Linked DNA regions of Notamacropus eugenii. The protein of the gene in region 1 purifies or fractionates together with the protein of each later gene. This does not show direct contact. Links are inferred from orthologs where the notes say so. Each region holds a gene or a part of one and is shown on either strand. Other genes may lie near its edges.

Region 1 (7,377 bases):
ACCTTCTTCCATAGGACAGCCCTTTCCTGACTGGAAGCCAGTATGTGCCCCTCCCTAGCATGGGTGAGCACCCTCAGTCAATCCCAATGCTCCTCACAGGACATGATTTGAGTTCCTTCAGCACTGGCTGCTTGTCTCTGGATGTTCTCCACTTGGTCATATCCTTCCCCAGAATGCAGAGCAGTATGCCTTGGGTGTGACCCGGGAAAAGGTCAAGGGGGCCCTGCCCTTGTTCTGGATCCTCTGCTTGGGACTTACAGAAAGCCTGGGCCCAAGGGCCTTCCCTCAGCTCCACTCTGGCTAGCACACCAGACAGGGTGACTGCAGTCTTCCTCTTCATGTCCAGCCTCCGTCCACACCCCAGTTACTCAATGCAGAGATTTCTTTGAAGGCCACAGCAAAGGTGATGGGGCTCCTGTGTCTCAGAGTCGTGAATGAAGGTTGCTGAGTGAGTCGGAGTATTCTGATGCTGAGTAGAGAAGAAAGATGCTCATCTGTTCATTCAGGAAATCAGCTAGCAGCCAGCACCCACGCATCAGGCAGTCTGAGTAACAAGATGCTCTGCTTGGAAACCAGGGGGCTCGACGGGAGGGGATCTCAGGGAGAAGCAAAGTCTTGGTGACATGGGCTGGGGATTGCCAGTTCTTTAGTAAGCTGGGAAGCCTGGAAAAGTCCAGACTCACTCTTGGGTCATTCCTTTCTGGTTTAGAACTCTTTCATCTGGTGGAGTTGAAGGCCACACTGTCTCCTCCATTCATCTGCCAAACAGGGGTCCCCAAGATTTTGTGGGCACAGGCTTGGCTCTATCTAACCCCAGAGAGGCACGGGCTGGCTCTATGCCATTTTGCTATGATAATGAGCAGTGCCTCAAGGTTTGTACCATCTCTCTTGAGTACAGAAGCAGGTTTTGACATTTCACAGTGGGAATGGACCCCCTCCAGAAAGGGACTTTCTCCATGTGGGAGTTCACCATATGAAGGAAATCACAGGTCTGGCTCCATCTACCTAAAAAAACCAAGCTGTCACACTCAGGTGACCAGTGCCCAGGCTCCTCCCACCAGAGTCCCAATTTGTTTCTAGCTGGTTAAATGTCAACATTCTGCCGTAGCTGGCATTTCTTTGTATCTAAGCCTGGAGAGGAAGGCCTCGTCCAGCTTGTCTGGCTCCATCTCTCATCTGAGGAGTGGGGAGCGGAGGAAGAGCTGTATAGAAGATACAGTGTGGGCTCCAGACAAGGCTGGAAGGGACCTTAGCCAGTCTGGGTGGGGGTTTGCTTTTCTCTGTCAGGGAACCCCTGAAAATGTCTGGTGACACCTAGGGACCCCTCATTAGAATTGTGGTTGGAAATGCACCAAATAAAATACAAGGATTTCAGAGAAAACCAATGAATTTGGAACATAGATATCTGAAAATGAACAAAACAAGTTCACAGACCCAGGGTAAGAAACCCAAGTCCCTCGATTTAGAGATGAGACAAGTGAGACCTGGAGCTGTGAAGGGATCTGTCCAAGGTCCCCCAGAGAGGACGCCCCTCCAGGGCGGCCAAGCCCTGGTTTTCTGTGAGTGATGCTGGCCTGGCCTCCAGGATCGATGGAGGAGGTAGGTTCCAGGTCTACCCCTGGACTCTTGGGCCTGACCTGCCTCCCACCCCTCTTCATTCTTCCTCTGACCTCTCCTGGCTCAATTCCCTGAATACTCGATGTGCTTCTAGCCAGATTCCAGGGTCCCTTCTCTCCGTGCTTACGGGTCCTGAAGTCCACCCTTCAAGAAATCTCACCCTAAATGGGACTGATCAATAGCTACGTGTTCCCTTCCTCACCAGGTTCTCAGCAGCTGCAGCCGATGGCAGAAAAGGCCCTCCCCCTTCTGCTTAAAGACCTAGAAATGAGCAGAGAAGCCCTTCTCTCTAGGGTAGGCCTTCTCATCACTATCCTAGACACTAACCACTGAGCAAAAGTTCCATCTCACAAGAACAGGAACAAGAATTTTCAGCAATAGTTGAAAAGTCAACCTGTCCACTAAGTCCAGCTCACAGATTCATGGAAATCTTAGGAGCTGGAAGGAACCTTAGAGGTCATAGCAGCCCTCATGGTACAGATGGGGAAACTGAGGCCCAGTGAAGGGAGGTGGCTTCCCCAACGTCTCTGGAGTGTGTCAGAAGGGGAAGAGTTGGTCCAGGACCTCAGACCCACCAAACCATGCTGCTTCAGAGAGGGGCTACTCTACCTTGCTGAGGTCACATCCTGGGTGGAAGCAGGGTAAAGTTCACGTCTTCTCTCAGACCTGGGCTTTTGCCATTACTCTGTGAGTCAAAAGCTGCTGATTTTTTGTTTTCATTCAGACAAATTGATATCCACTGGGGTGTGAGTAACATCTGCTTCACGAATTTCCTCCACTGTAAAATGGGGATGAGGACAGCACCTGCTTCACAGGGTTGTTGTGAGGATGAAATGAAAGAATATTGTAACTGTAAGGCTATCTCGGTGTCTGGCACACAACAGGCACTGTACAGTTATGTATTCTCTTCTCTTTTCCCCCAAAGCAAGGAAAGCATCCTGGGGACTTAATGTGGCTGACCCCTTAGGCTCAGGCTGGAACAATCGATGGAGTTCTACTTGCCTAAGCTTTCATAGCTTAGAACTGTCCTGACTGTGGGATCAAAGAGTTGGGGCTCCTCAGGCTTGGCCCCGCCAGCTAACCAGGCAGTTCATGTCTCCATGGAAAACATGGGGGCCGAGTAACTGCACCCAGCTGACCTCATGCTGTGTTCTTGCTGAGTATCCTTTCCAGGCTTTCACTAAATAAACTTCTTTTCTTATTAACTGGCCTACCAATGTCTCCCTTTGTTCTTGACCTAAGCCCTTGGACAGGTATGAGTCAGGACTGGTGCAGAATGTGGTCTTCTGGCTCATGAAGAAGGGATCTATCCAAGCAAAAGCAGGAGGGATATGATGGCTGACAACATAGCAGGAAAGGAAACGTCCCCCCAAAATACAGGCCAGCTGCTATGAGCGCAGGGCATGAGGGAGGGGAGTCTAATCATGCTCAGGCATCATCTGCCCTTCTGGCCAGACTTCATGTTGTCTCTCACTACTAATAATAACAATTTAAAAATTATAATAGCACTTTCATAGTGCATGAGGGCTCACAAAGCCCTTGCACAGGTGATCTGATTGGAGTCAGAGGCTCTTGGGATGCCCATAATGCTACCCAGCCTCCCAGAGTGTCCTCTCTCCAGACCCTCCTCATCCTTCATGGTCCACCTGAGGTCCTCCACAAAGCTTTTTGGATTTCTATGGCACTTATCATCTGAACCAAATAATTTAGCATTTCACAATACTCTGATTTTTATATCCCCTGTCTGTATGTACTGGCCTTGGCTCCCCCCAAGTCTTGCCCTTCCTTATTCTACCTGTCTCCTCCCTTCCAAGTGCCTTTCTGGGACAGTGCTAAACAAATGCCTCACTACTAACTCAAATACCCTGAGTCATCTTTGAGGCAACGCCAAACTCGCTGGGCTGGATTCCTTCAGCAAGCTATGAGTACATGGTGAGGGAAGTGGGGGGTGGGAGGATGCCAGGCATCTGAAGTTGGGCCATGGGATGCCAGGGCTCAGGGCTGGAGGTCATTTGACCCAACACCTTTTTTACACATGGGAAAATTGGGACCCAGAGTGATTCAGGACAAGATTCCTCCACGGAAGAGATGGGATTTGGAATTCTCTGAGTCCAAATCCAAGGCTCCTTTCTATGCTAGGATGCCCAGGGCAGGAGAAGGAGCCAAGTGAGGCTCTTGGAATGCATCCTATCCTAGCAGGCCAGGTGCAGACACAAGTGTGGATGGCTGTCCCCTCTTCTGCTTACTCCATTGCAGCTGCTGGGCTGGCCCCAGGCTCTCCACCTGACACCTCGAGAGGCTGGATTCCTGTCTAGGGTAGGAGCCCGGTGATGCCCGGGGAGGACCTCTGCCTATGCTGAGGACAGGGCACGCTCTATGCATAACCTGACCCCAAATGCCAAGGATCTCATTCTCATGTTTGTCCACCTTCTTCAAACAGGCCTTCAACTGGCCTTGCTCCAACGTCCATGTCAGTTTCAGGCTTGAAGGCCCGCCCCCATCCCTACACAAGGCCTGGCCTCTAGGAGACTCTTCTTAGTAGATGCTGAGAGATGGAGTGGCGGAGCGAAGATGGGCGGGAAAGGGGCGGAGCCTGAGAGCGGTGGGCGGGGCTCGAGGAGAGAAGGCTTGGTCTTCGAGGACGGAGCGGAGCCTGGCCGGGGGAGGGGCTTCTGGGAAAAGGGGAGGAGTCAGGAATGCTCCCTTCCGCTAGCAGGCGGCGGAAGTTGAGGGGGCGGGATTAAGAGACGGAGCCTACTCTGATAGGTTCAATATCCGGAAGTGATCCTGTTTCCTGGAGACGGCGCGTGGCGGCGGCGGTGGAGGCTGGCTGGGCGCGTGGCAGGCCGGTACGTGTCCGCTGAGGTCTCGGGGCCCCAGTCCGCGGTGCGGGGGCGGGAGGCCGAGGCTCTGGGGCCCTCTTCTCCGAGGCCCGCTCGCGCGTGGGGCCCCCCGCCTGCCCTATTTCTCGTGCCTCTGTTTCCCCATCTGTAAGGAGAGAGGATCGGCCCCTGCCAGCTTCTGGGGCTCAGTTTCCCCGTCTGTAAAAGGAGATGGGACTAGCTGCCCCCCTGCCCCTCCCCCAGCTCCAGCTCGGCGCGGTTACTACGTAACCGGGCTCCAGGCCTCGGGCCTTGCGCCTCCGGGCCTGTTTCCCCGGCTGTCCAAGGAGGAGGGTGGTGGCTTCTCGGGGTTCTGCCACCTCGGGTCCCCCACCCCGTGCCTTGGCACACCCCTTCCTGCCCCGGGGCTCGGGTTCCTCTGGCTCTGAGGCCCGGAGAGGGAGGAGCGTTGAGGTCTGCTGCCTCCCTGCCCCTTCCAGGGCGTGTGCCCAGGATGTTTGTCCTGGTGGAGATGGTGGACACGGTGCGGATCCCACCGTGGCAGTTTGAGAGGAAGCTCAACGACTCCATCGCGGAGGAGCTGAACAAGAAGCTGGCCAACAAGGTGAGCTCCCTTGCCCCCAGACTCCGCGGCCCCGCCTTCCTCCCCTCTGCCCCTCAGAAACTTCGTGTGAGGCCCGAGCGGCCCTCCCCACAGCCTCCTTAGTCAGCAGGCACCCACTGTGTGCCAGGGACCCAGCGAGGGGCCCCAGGCATCCCTGGCCTCCCGGGCTCACCTTCTGGCGGAGGAGACAGCGGGAGGTGAGCAGGAGCACCGGAGTCACTGCAGCACAAGTGAGAGGAGCCTGTCTGAGGGGTCCTGGAGGAAATGGAGTGTGCAGCGTGGAGACCTGAGGAGGCTGGGCTTTCTGGTGCCAAGCAGGGGCTCCCTGCTGGGTCTTGGAGGTGGTGGGGAACGCGTGAGGCTGTGGAGCTGCAGTCAGGCCTGACGTGGGTGGATCCTTGGACTGAGAGGAGGGAGGAAGGAGGCCAGGACGGAGCTGAGCAGGAAGCCTGGCACATAGTAGGTGCTGATCAGCTCTTGTGGATTGGGGGTGAAGCGGGATTCTCATCCAGATGTGAAAAGGGAGGCACAGGGAGTTCCTGATTGTTGCTTTCACCGCCTGGGCTTCTTCCAGGGCAGGCCTTGGAGCCCTCTGCACAGGTCCAGGAGAGCATAAGAGCAGGCCCCCTTGTGACCCTGCCCTCCTGCTCCCTGGCCCAACCTGGCACCCACCTTGGCCTCGGCCTCCTGTATGGGGACCTCTTGGCAAGTCCTGTCCTTGGCTGCCATGGGCAGGCAGGGTGGTCTCAGACGCTCATGGCCAAGGACCCAAGGACACACGGACCTGTGCCTGAGTCAGTATGTCTCTGCAGGTCGTGTATAATGTTGGACTTTGCCTCTGCCTGTATGACATCACCAAGTTAGAAGACGCCTACGTGTTCCCAGGGGATGGTGCATCTCATACCAAAGGTGGGCATCCTTGTTCCCCACCTTACACTGAATTGAGGGTTGGGACAGATCTCAGAGGTCCACCCACTGAGCCTTTACCCTGGGCTGGGACTGTGATCTGAAGTGTCCACCTCTCCTCCAGGACACCCCCAATTGTTGGGGAGCCCCTGGCTACCCTCTCATGACCCCCCCACCCCAGGCACTCAGTGCCATTTCCAAAGCCATGTCCAAAGGATGGCCCATGGGGTGTTGGAGGCAGCTCTCGCAGGCATCGTGGTAAGGCCTGGGTCTGAGACCAGGCTGTGCCACTGAAGGGTTGGGCCCCTCTCCATCTCCCCCTCACTCCCCCCCAGGGCCTCAGTTTCCTCCTTTGTAAAAGAAGGAGTTGGACTCAGGCATCTCTAAGCCCTTCTCTGGCTCTGGTCCAGGCTCATGCGTCCCCCCATATTTTGTCCTAGAGCTTGGGCTTCCCTTGGCTGACCCTTGGAGGTGTCTTCTCCTGGTCACCTTCCTCTGGCCGTGCCCCAGTTGGGCCCTGGGCTGCAGGTGTGCTCTGCCCAGGCCTGGGACCAAGGGACCTTGCCATGCCCTCCCCCGCGACGAGCCACCTTCCCTGCCACCTCCTTTCTTTGCTTTTAAGAATCAGTATGTTATCTGTGTCTGGTGTTTACAGCACAGGAATTTTGGGCATGAGCCAGCCTCCCAGCGCCAGACACACAGACACACATGCGCACAGAGCATGTCAGCACTCTTTCTATAAAGATCTACAACCCAGCCAGGAGACCAGCAGTTTCTGCAGCACTCCTCACCTGTCCCCTTCCACATCTCCATATAAAGGAGGGGGCCAGTTTTCCTTCTCTGTTCTCCAGGGCTTCAAACCCTTCCCCAGGGCTGGCCCTTTCTGGGACTTGGTCCTGGCTAGAACTAAGGCAGGGACTTCTCTGAGCCTTGAGGGGAGGGTTTCTCTGTCTCTCGACTGGGACTGCTCTCTCTCCCCAGAGATCTCTGACATTCTACTCACCTCAGACCCCAGATGTGGCCTCCTTCCTACTCCAGGGCACACTGGTTGGGGTGCATTTTTGGAACCCCGGTGTCCAAGGCCCCTCTACCAAAGCCAGCCTGGGAGCTGAGGCCGAGCCACCTGCTGTCCCACATGGGGAGGCTCCCTGGCTGGTCAGTCTTTTGGGGAACAGGTTTGGGGAGGGGACAGCAGGCCAGATGCAGACATAGCATTGTTAGGCCCCCATGCCTCCAGCACTGATTTAGGCCTCAAGTCTGAGCCAGAAAGTAGCAGAAGGTGATTTCATCCAGCCCTGTCATTTTATGGCTGAGGAAACTGAGTCCTGGAGAAGGACAGAGATGTGCTCCATCCCTGCAGATGCTGGGGGCAGAGCTGGGTACAAGGGCCTGCTGATTCTCTTTACT
Region 2 (7,991 bases), on another chromosome or scaffold:
CACCCTGGCAGCCCGCCGTCCACCCCGTGCCCAGGGCAGGGATGTGGCTGCCCTCCGAGCTCTTGTCCCCCAGCCGCTCGGGAGCCCCGAGCTCCCAGGAGTGCCAGGACAGGGCAGGGCATCACGCTGCTGCCCCGCACCACACCCCCTTCCAGCAAGGTGCGGACGGGAACTCTGACTCACCTGATGCAACAGCTTCTGCCCAGAGCCCAGTCCCGCCGCCGAGGCTTTTCCTTCCCGGGGAGGACGACGTCACCGGGGCCAGGCCCCGCCGCACCAATCAAGGCCTTCACTGCGTGGAGGAGGGGCTGGCGGCTTTACCTGCCCTTGCAGTGGGTCGCCTCTTGTCCCTGGGCGTCACCGGCGCCTCCCATATTTGTGTGGCCATCAGGAGAGCCTGGACGGTGATGCAATCTGCCTGCCCGCTTCGGGGTGTGACTTCGCCATCTGGGAACTTCCCAGGCTGACTTGGAAAATGTCTCCTGGGTCCTTGTCCTCCTTCCGCCTTTCTCCCACCTTCTCCATTTAGATGGAGCTGGACCCAAACCACCCTCCCCTCTCAGACCCCAGATCTGGAGCTGCGAGGGACCTCAGGGGTCCACCCCCTCATTTTACAGATGGGGAAACTGAGGCATAGAGCGCTTACGGGGCTTTCTCAAAGTCTTAAAGGAGGACCAGGAATTTGAGCCCAGGGCCTCTGGCTCAAAATCCAGGGTTCTTTTCCCTACCCCACGTTGCTCTCCCATGCTGTACTCTTTGCTCAGCTTCAGACATGGCCCTAGGTTCGGAGGCTACCCGACATTGTTTTCTATAAGATTTCTGGAAGTTGCTATGGGCCAGGATCACATGCAAAACCAGCTACAATGTAGCCACTGAGAATACCAGATCCATTCATCTGTCTGACCTGGCCTTCGGCTTCGTCCTCTCTTGTGCCTGAACCACTGACCTCAGAGCCAGCCTGGTACACTTCAACCGTAAGCAGAGAGGGCAGGGATCATGTCTTTGACCTCCCTGTGCGCACACGAGGGTGACAGGTTCGATGAAACGCCCTTAGGTGATTACACCATCTATGAGATGTCACTGGAAGTAAGTCAGTCCTGGGGACTTGTTTTTTTCTGAGTTGTCATGGACCTGACTCAGCTGGATACCACGTTACAATAAGCCTCCTAATTGGCCTGCCTTTTCTCTCCAATTTGTCCTTTGCATCCAAGCCAAATTGATGTCCTTGATATGACCACGAGGCTCAACAAGTCCCAGTGGCTCCCTCTTGTTTCTAGGAAAAAAATCCAAATCTCAAAATTTAGCATTCAAGGTCCTTTCAAGGTCCCTTCAAGGTCCCAATGCCCAAGACCCCAATCTACTCCCGACGGATTTTTCCAGACTGATGTCACTTTACTCCTCCACCACACACTCTAATCTGTAGCCAGACCATACTGTTTCCTTCTATACTTGGCCTTCCATCATATTTTTGGATAGAGGATCTCCTCAGTCTGGAAAAACTCCCTTCTCAACTCCTGTCTTCCAGGAATCCCAAGCTCTCTTCCAGAGCCCACAAGTCACTTCCTAAAGGAAGCTTTTTTCATTTCCCCTCTACCAACTGTTTTATATTTATTCACCTGGGTTCCAGTTTTTATTCCAGTAGAAGATAAACTCCCTGAAGGCAGGTAAAGTTTTGTTTTTCTGTCTTGTCAGCCCTCCTTTATGATGATCAAGTGAGATAATATTTGTAATGAGCTCTGCAAACCTCAAAGTGCTATTTAATGATAGCTATTAATAATTTAAAGGGAAGGAAAGAAGTATTTACATAGTGCCCTTTTAGGTGCCAAATATTGTGCTAAAACTGTTCAGGGTCATGCCATGATTATCCCTATTTTATTTTTTTTCAAGTATTACATATTTAGTATTTTATTTTTCCCCATCACATTTAAAAACAATTTTCAACATTTGTTTTTAAAATTTTGAGTTCCAAATTCTCTCCCTCCCTCCCCAACACCCTCACTGAGAAGGCAAGCAATTTTATTGTCCCCATTTTATAGTTGAAGAAACTGAGGCAAACAGAGGTTAAATGACTTGCCCAGAGTTACAAAGACAGAAAGCATCAGAGGCTGCATTTGAACTTAGGTCTTGATGCTGGACCCAGTGCTCTATCCATGGTGCCACCAACTGTCCCTGTCATTATTATTATTCACAAACACCCTGGATTTGGGCCAGGAAACCTGGGTTTAATTCTTGACTTTGACACTTTAGCTTTGTGACATTGAGCAAGATGGTTAGCCTTCCCAAGCCTCAGTTTCCCCATCTGTAAAAATGGAATAACATCCTACTGAGTGGGATAGGTTTAGTGAAGACTTCTCAGATTGTAATTCTTCTTCCAGGGGTGAGGTAAGGCCTAAAGGCTCAAGGTTACAATATTTTTAGAATAGAATAGTTCCATATAAGGATATAAAACTGTGTAGTGTATTAGGGTCTCAATGATTGGACAAAACTCACATAATTCCTCAATGTCTTCATTTCAAAAAGGATTGGTTAGATTTCGTGTCTAGAATGTAAGATCATATTCTCAGCTAATGAGGATAATGGTCAGTGGGGGGAGGAGGGACTTGTGTTAGGGTCTATATAAATCACTGCCCTTTTCTTTGTCTTTGTCTTTCCTACTCCTACAGGTTAGCCCCGCTTCTCGAGAATCGAATAAATCTCTTTTCTGTCATCACTTTGAGAGGCCTCTGAGTAACTGATTTATGTAGGGACCTGAACCATCCCACACACTACCTTATGGGGTTATTGTGAGGATCAGATGAGATTGTGTTTGTAAAATGTTTTCCATACTTTGAATCTGAATATAAATGCCAGCTATTATTAAAAACCTACTTTTTTTTGTCTAGTCATTTCAGTCTTGTCTCTGTGACCCTATTTGGGGTTTTCTTGGCAAAGATACTGGAGTAGTTTGCCACTTCTTTCTTCAGCTTGAGATGAGGAAACTGAGGCAAAAAGGGTGAAGTGATCTAAGTCACACAGCTAGTAAGTATCTGAGAGCATATTTGAAGTGAATCAGGGTCTGGCCAGTGGTTAAGTGCCTTGTCCAGATTCTAATCCTGACAGTATAAAAGACTCCAGTTCTATCTATCTTTCCACTAGGTCTTGTGTGTTGATGACCCTGAGCCATTAATAAAAAGACTCATCATGTTCAGGATCTGTTTTACGATTCGGTAAAATGAAGATAATAACAGCGCTTGCTCCTCCCCTGTCAAGTGAAATAATGTATGTAAAGTGTAGATATGTGTATATGTAGTAATCTAAGTTACCCTTAAACACTAAATATTAGCAATTACTATTCTCCCCCAAAGTCTGCTTAAGTAGGCAGGAAGAAGTTGCTGTGGCATAACAGATGGAGTGCTGAGGTTAGAAAAGGAAAGACATGCGTTCGAATGATGCCTTATCTGCTGGATCAATATGGTGGAAAAGCCTGATAATTTGAAGTGAGGAATTGGGTTGGACCCGACCACTGCCACCCTTCCCACTCTAAATCTATGGGTCTAAGCTGGGTGACCCTGGGTAAGTCATCTGATTTCTCTGTGCCTCAACCAGCTCCCTCAGATTTGGCATTTAAATCATTTCTGAATGGTTTCTGTCCACTGATTGAGTAATAGATTTTTCATGTAAGAAGGCAAACAAGTGTGCAGAAGACTGTTCCTCTAATAGAATTTTTGTGCTTATGGGAGTAAACCCAGAATTATTGGGGAAAGACAAAGATAAACAGAGGCAAGGTCTTCCATTCAGCCAACGAACCCTTGGTTAGATGACAGCGACTCGAAGTTTGGATAAGATATGGTCCCTGCATTCAATGAGTTTACAATCTAGCAGGGAGAAAAGAAATGTGCACTGACTAGCTAAGTGTTCTTTGGACTTGCAAAAACTCCAAGAAAGTTTGAAACGGACAGAGGATTGAGGCAGACTTGGGTCATATTCCTTTGCTTGGTTGCTTTAATGGGAAGACTTTCTGACCCAAAACACAGGAAGACAGAGTTCAAAATGCAAGTCTATGAACCCATCTCACCTCTCTGAAGGCAATGTTTTCTTTTCTTTCCTGTCCATATTTCTTTCTACCTTCTAATTAATCAATCAAATCATTAAGTGTAGGGATAGTTTTCCTTCTTTGTCTTTGTATCTCTGGCCTGGAAGAAAACTAGGTGCTTAATAAATACTGGATTGGTCAACAAACATTAAGTACCTACTATCCTCCATCCCCACCCCCCACTAGTGCAAAGTATTGGAGTGGGAGGCTCAGTCCACCAATGACTTATTAAGTGCCCGGTAAGCTCTTTGAGGGCTGGGACTGATTTTTGCCTCTTCTCGCTCAGAGCAGATATAAATAGCAATTGTTTCTGTTTTGGCCAGAAACTCTGAGGGCCTTCCCCTTCCAGATGGATTTTTTTTTTGGACTAGCTAAAAGAGGTCATTCTTTGCTCATTTCTTACCTAGCCTTCATCACTGAAGTGCCTCAGACATGCTCTGACATAAGCTTAAAAAGGTCCAGGTCTCTCACTGCATCCTGGGCCATCTCCCGTCCTCCTGATCAGTATCTGACCACTGGACCCAGATGGCTCTGGAGGAGAAAGTGAGTCCCTGCCTCACTGAAATCCAATTCACTTGCATGTCATGGTATCACCTTCTTGATTTCACCTTTAAGAATGAAGGACAACCCCAGTTCCTGCACAGCACCTGGCCCAGGGCAGAGCTTCCTAAATGGTGACTGATTGATATAAACTATCGCTTACTGACTGATCCTGAGTGCCAGACTCCACGGGCATCTGGGGCCAGCAGCAATCTCGGCCTGATTCAGCCCAAACCAGGGGAGTGGCTTAGGCTAGGGGGTCGAGGGCGTTCTCCTGCTACCTCCGCCCATCCCTGCGGCCACAGCGAGGGGGCTGGGCGCTGCTGCTCCGGGCTCGTAGCTAAGGGAGGGCACGGCGTGCTGCCGGGGGCGGCCCCGGCGTGCGTGCGCGCGCGCGGAGGCTGGGCGGCCCCGTGACGTGCACCGGGTGCCCTGCCCCCGGCCGGCGCCGCGGCCTGCAGCTCAGCGTGGACCCGGGATCTCGGAGCCGTGGGAGAGCGCGGAGGAGGAGGGGCCACGATGGAAGTGTGAGTGGGCGGCCCCACGCGTGGGAGGCCCGGGCTGGGGGAGGAGGGCGGAGTGTGCCCGCATGGCTGTGCGGGCGTGTCGGTGCCCACGTGCACTTGTGCGTGCCCGTGCGTGGGCATTCCTGGGCTGGCACGCGCGTGCATTTGTCCGCGCTCCTTAAACCCCTCCTGTGTGCCCCAGGGGCTGGGGAGAGGCGTCCTGGGAGGCTCTCGTGCTGTTCTCAGAGGCAGGGGGTTTAATTCCGAAATGAGCCAGAATCTGCCTTGTTCCTCCCTCTCCTTTGTAATAGCCCAAGAGCTGGTGTGGCCCCTGCAGCCCGCGTGGGTCCGTGGGCGTTCTGTGGTCAGGGAGGAGGGCGTGGGGGGCGCGTCCGTGGGCCTTGCTGCCTCGGAGCTGCAAGTGGGCTGGGGTTATCGTGAAGACGGGGCTGCTGGCTCTGCCCCTTCCACTGGGTATCAGTTACTGCCAATCCCAGTTTTCTGGGGAACCCCAGCTTCATTTCTCCTTCCACCCCCTTGGCATCCGCACTATATGACTGACTGGTCCAGCCGTTCAGCCCTGCGGGCTCCGGCTCTTTGCCACCCCAGAATTAGCCTTTTGGTGTTTTGGACCTTCTCCCTCCCTCTTTGACCTCTTTGGGTAGAGCTGGTAGTAATTTCTTTGGGTTAAGGGGTACGCACAGTTTGGGGGTAACTCCACATGCTTTCCAGAAAGGCTGGACAGTTCTCCATTGTACCCATAGTGTATTCATGTACCTCTTATTTCTTGTTTCCCTGTTTTGGATGTTTGCCAATCGGATGCGTGTGAGGTTGTTACATTTGTTACTGTGTCTGATTCTTCCGGTGACCCCATGGACCATGTTGACGGTATAGACCCTGGCATGGTTTGCCCTTTCCTTCTCCAGTGAATTAAATGGAACTGAAGTTGTTTTAATTTGCATTTTTCCAATTATTGGTGATTTAGAGTCTCTTCCCCCCCTTATGGCTTGGATTTCTTCTGAAAACTTCCAGTTCATTTCCTTTTATTTTGGTTTATCAATTCAGGAATCAATGATCAATTCTTATAACTTTGAATCATTTCTCTATATAACTTAGAAGTGAGGCCTTTATCAGAGAAACTAACTGCAAATATTTTTCTTCCCCATTTACCTGCTTCACTTCTAGTTTTAGCTGCATTGGTTTTGTTTGTGCAAAGACTTTAAGATTACCTGTAACATAGGTTGCCCATCTTACCTTCTGTGACTCTTAATGTAAGAGTACCCTGTGTATATGTATAGTAGGTGAGAACAAGGAATAACCAGCACTATATGTGGGGGTACAGTGGAAAACAGCATTTGGAATCAGGACATGGGGCTGAGTTCTCTGCTTCATCACTTATCTCTGTTATCTTAAAATAGATTACTTAATTTTGTTGTTTTATTGAATTGACTTCACCTCTAAGTTTCCTTTGACCTCCAAATCTGTGATCCTAGTATATACACATGTCCACATACACACACACACACACACACACACACACACACACGACAATTGGGGGTTAAGTGACTTGCCCAGGGTCACACAGCTAGTGTCTGAGGCTGGATTTGAACTCAGGTCCTCATAACTTCAGGGCTGATGTGCTATTCATTGCACTCTGTGTGTGTGTGTGTGTGTAGAGGTATTATATATATGTATGTATATATTTAAATATTTTATTTTTTCCAATTATGTAAATAATTTTTAACATTTAAAACAAATTTTAGTTCCAAATTCTCTCCCTACTTACCCTTCCTTTTCCCTGAGAAGGCAAGCAATTTGATAGAGACTTTGCACTTGTGCAAAACATTTCCATATTAGCCAGGTTGCAAAAGAAAACACAGATCAAAAAACCCCGAGAAAAAATGTAAAAAGTCTGCTTTGGTCTCATTCAGACTCCGTCAGTTCTTTCTCGAGCCAGACGGCCTTTTTCATCATAAGTCCTTTGGAAATGTCTTGGGTCATTTGGGTCATTGCTGAGAGTATATGTGTAATGCTAAGTCATTCACAGTTGATCCTTGTACGATATTGCTGTTAATGTAGACACTGTGGAATGTATATTTTAAAATGTATATTTAAAAAATTTAATATTAAAAATAACAAAAATATACTTTTTTTCCCCTCCCATCATTCTCTTCCATCAGGAAAAAAAAAAGAAAAAATGAAAACAAAACCCACGTAACAAATCAGCAGTCATTCAAAACAATCCCCACATTGTCCATCTGCAGCCTGCTTCCATCCTCTTTGTCAGGAGGTGGGTAGTGTTTTTCAACGTCTGGAATCCTGGGCTATTGTTGTTTTGAGCAGAATTCTTACGTCTTTCAAAGTTGTTTAGCAGTGAGGGGTGAGGAAGAGTGAGGAGTCACCAAGGTGATGGAGGGGCCTTTGACAGGAATGCAGAGTGTAGGAGAGGGGAAGATTTGGGAGGAAAGATGATGAGTTCAGTTTTGTTCTTGTGGAGTTGGAGGTGCCCTCAAGACATTGAGGTCCATGAGACAGAAGGAGGCCTCAGGCTGAGTGTTGGGTGTCAGTTACAGGAGAAAGAGGGGGTGACAAGGCTTGGGTACCTTTGGGATCGAGTGCCCACAAATCCATCTCTGTGGATGGAAACATGATCTGATGGGTTGTGACTTTTTTTCCCTTTTCCGGGAATATTCCTTAAATGGATCAATTATTGTCTCATTTAGCAAGAAAGAGAAAGTGATACTCATCTAGCTGTTTCTTAGAATTGGAGTTTCTAGCTTCTCACTGTTCTCTAGGGTGAGTGTCATTGGTGGAAGGACCCCTTTGGTAGAGTGAGTTGAGTCTTGGTTTGAATCATGCCTCAAATGCTTACC

What was found. The genes of interacting proteins can lie anywhere in the genome.
Region 2: the proteins of POLR3H (region 1) and CRCP purify together in Homo sapiens (affinity purification with mass spectrometry; 4 studies listed by BioGRID and IntAct, with this or other methods). This does not show direct contact. The link is inferred for Notamacropus eugenii from reciprocal best matches to the Homo sapiens genes POLR3H and CRCP.

Annotation. Positions count from the first base shown.
Region 1 is NC_092874.1:300,584,738-300,592,114, reverse strand, and holds the start of POLR3H (DNA-directed RNA polymerase III subunit RPC8), read left to right. Parts: upstream 1-4,373; 5' UTR 4,374-4,466; intron 4,467-4,478; exon of another isoform or gene 4,479-4,607; intron 4,608-4,939; 5' UTR 4,940-4,953; coding exon 4,954-5,064; intron 5,065-5,876; coding exon 5,877-5,973; intron 5,974-7,377.
Region 2 is NC_092873.1:43,130,574-43,138,564, reverse strand, and holds the start of CRCP (DNA-directed RNA polymerase III subunit RPC9), read left to right. Parts: upstream 1-4,979; 5' UTR 4,980-5,131; coding exon 5,132-5,139; intron 5,140-7,298; exon of another isoform or gene 7,299-7,408; intron 7,409-7,991. UniProt on the Homo sapiens protein: DNA-dependent RNA polymerase catalyzes the transcription of DNA into RNA using the four ribonucleoside triphosphates as substrates.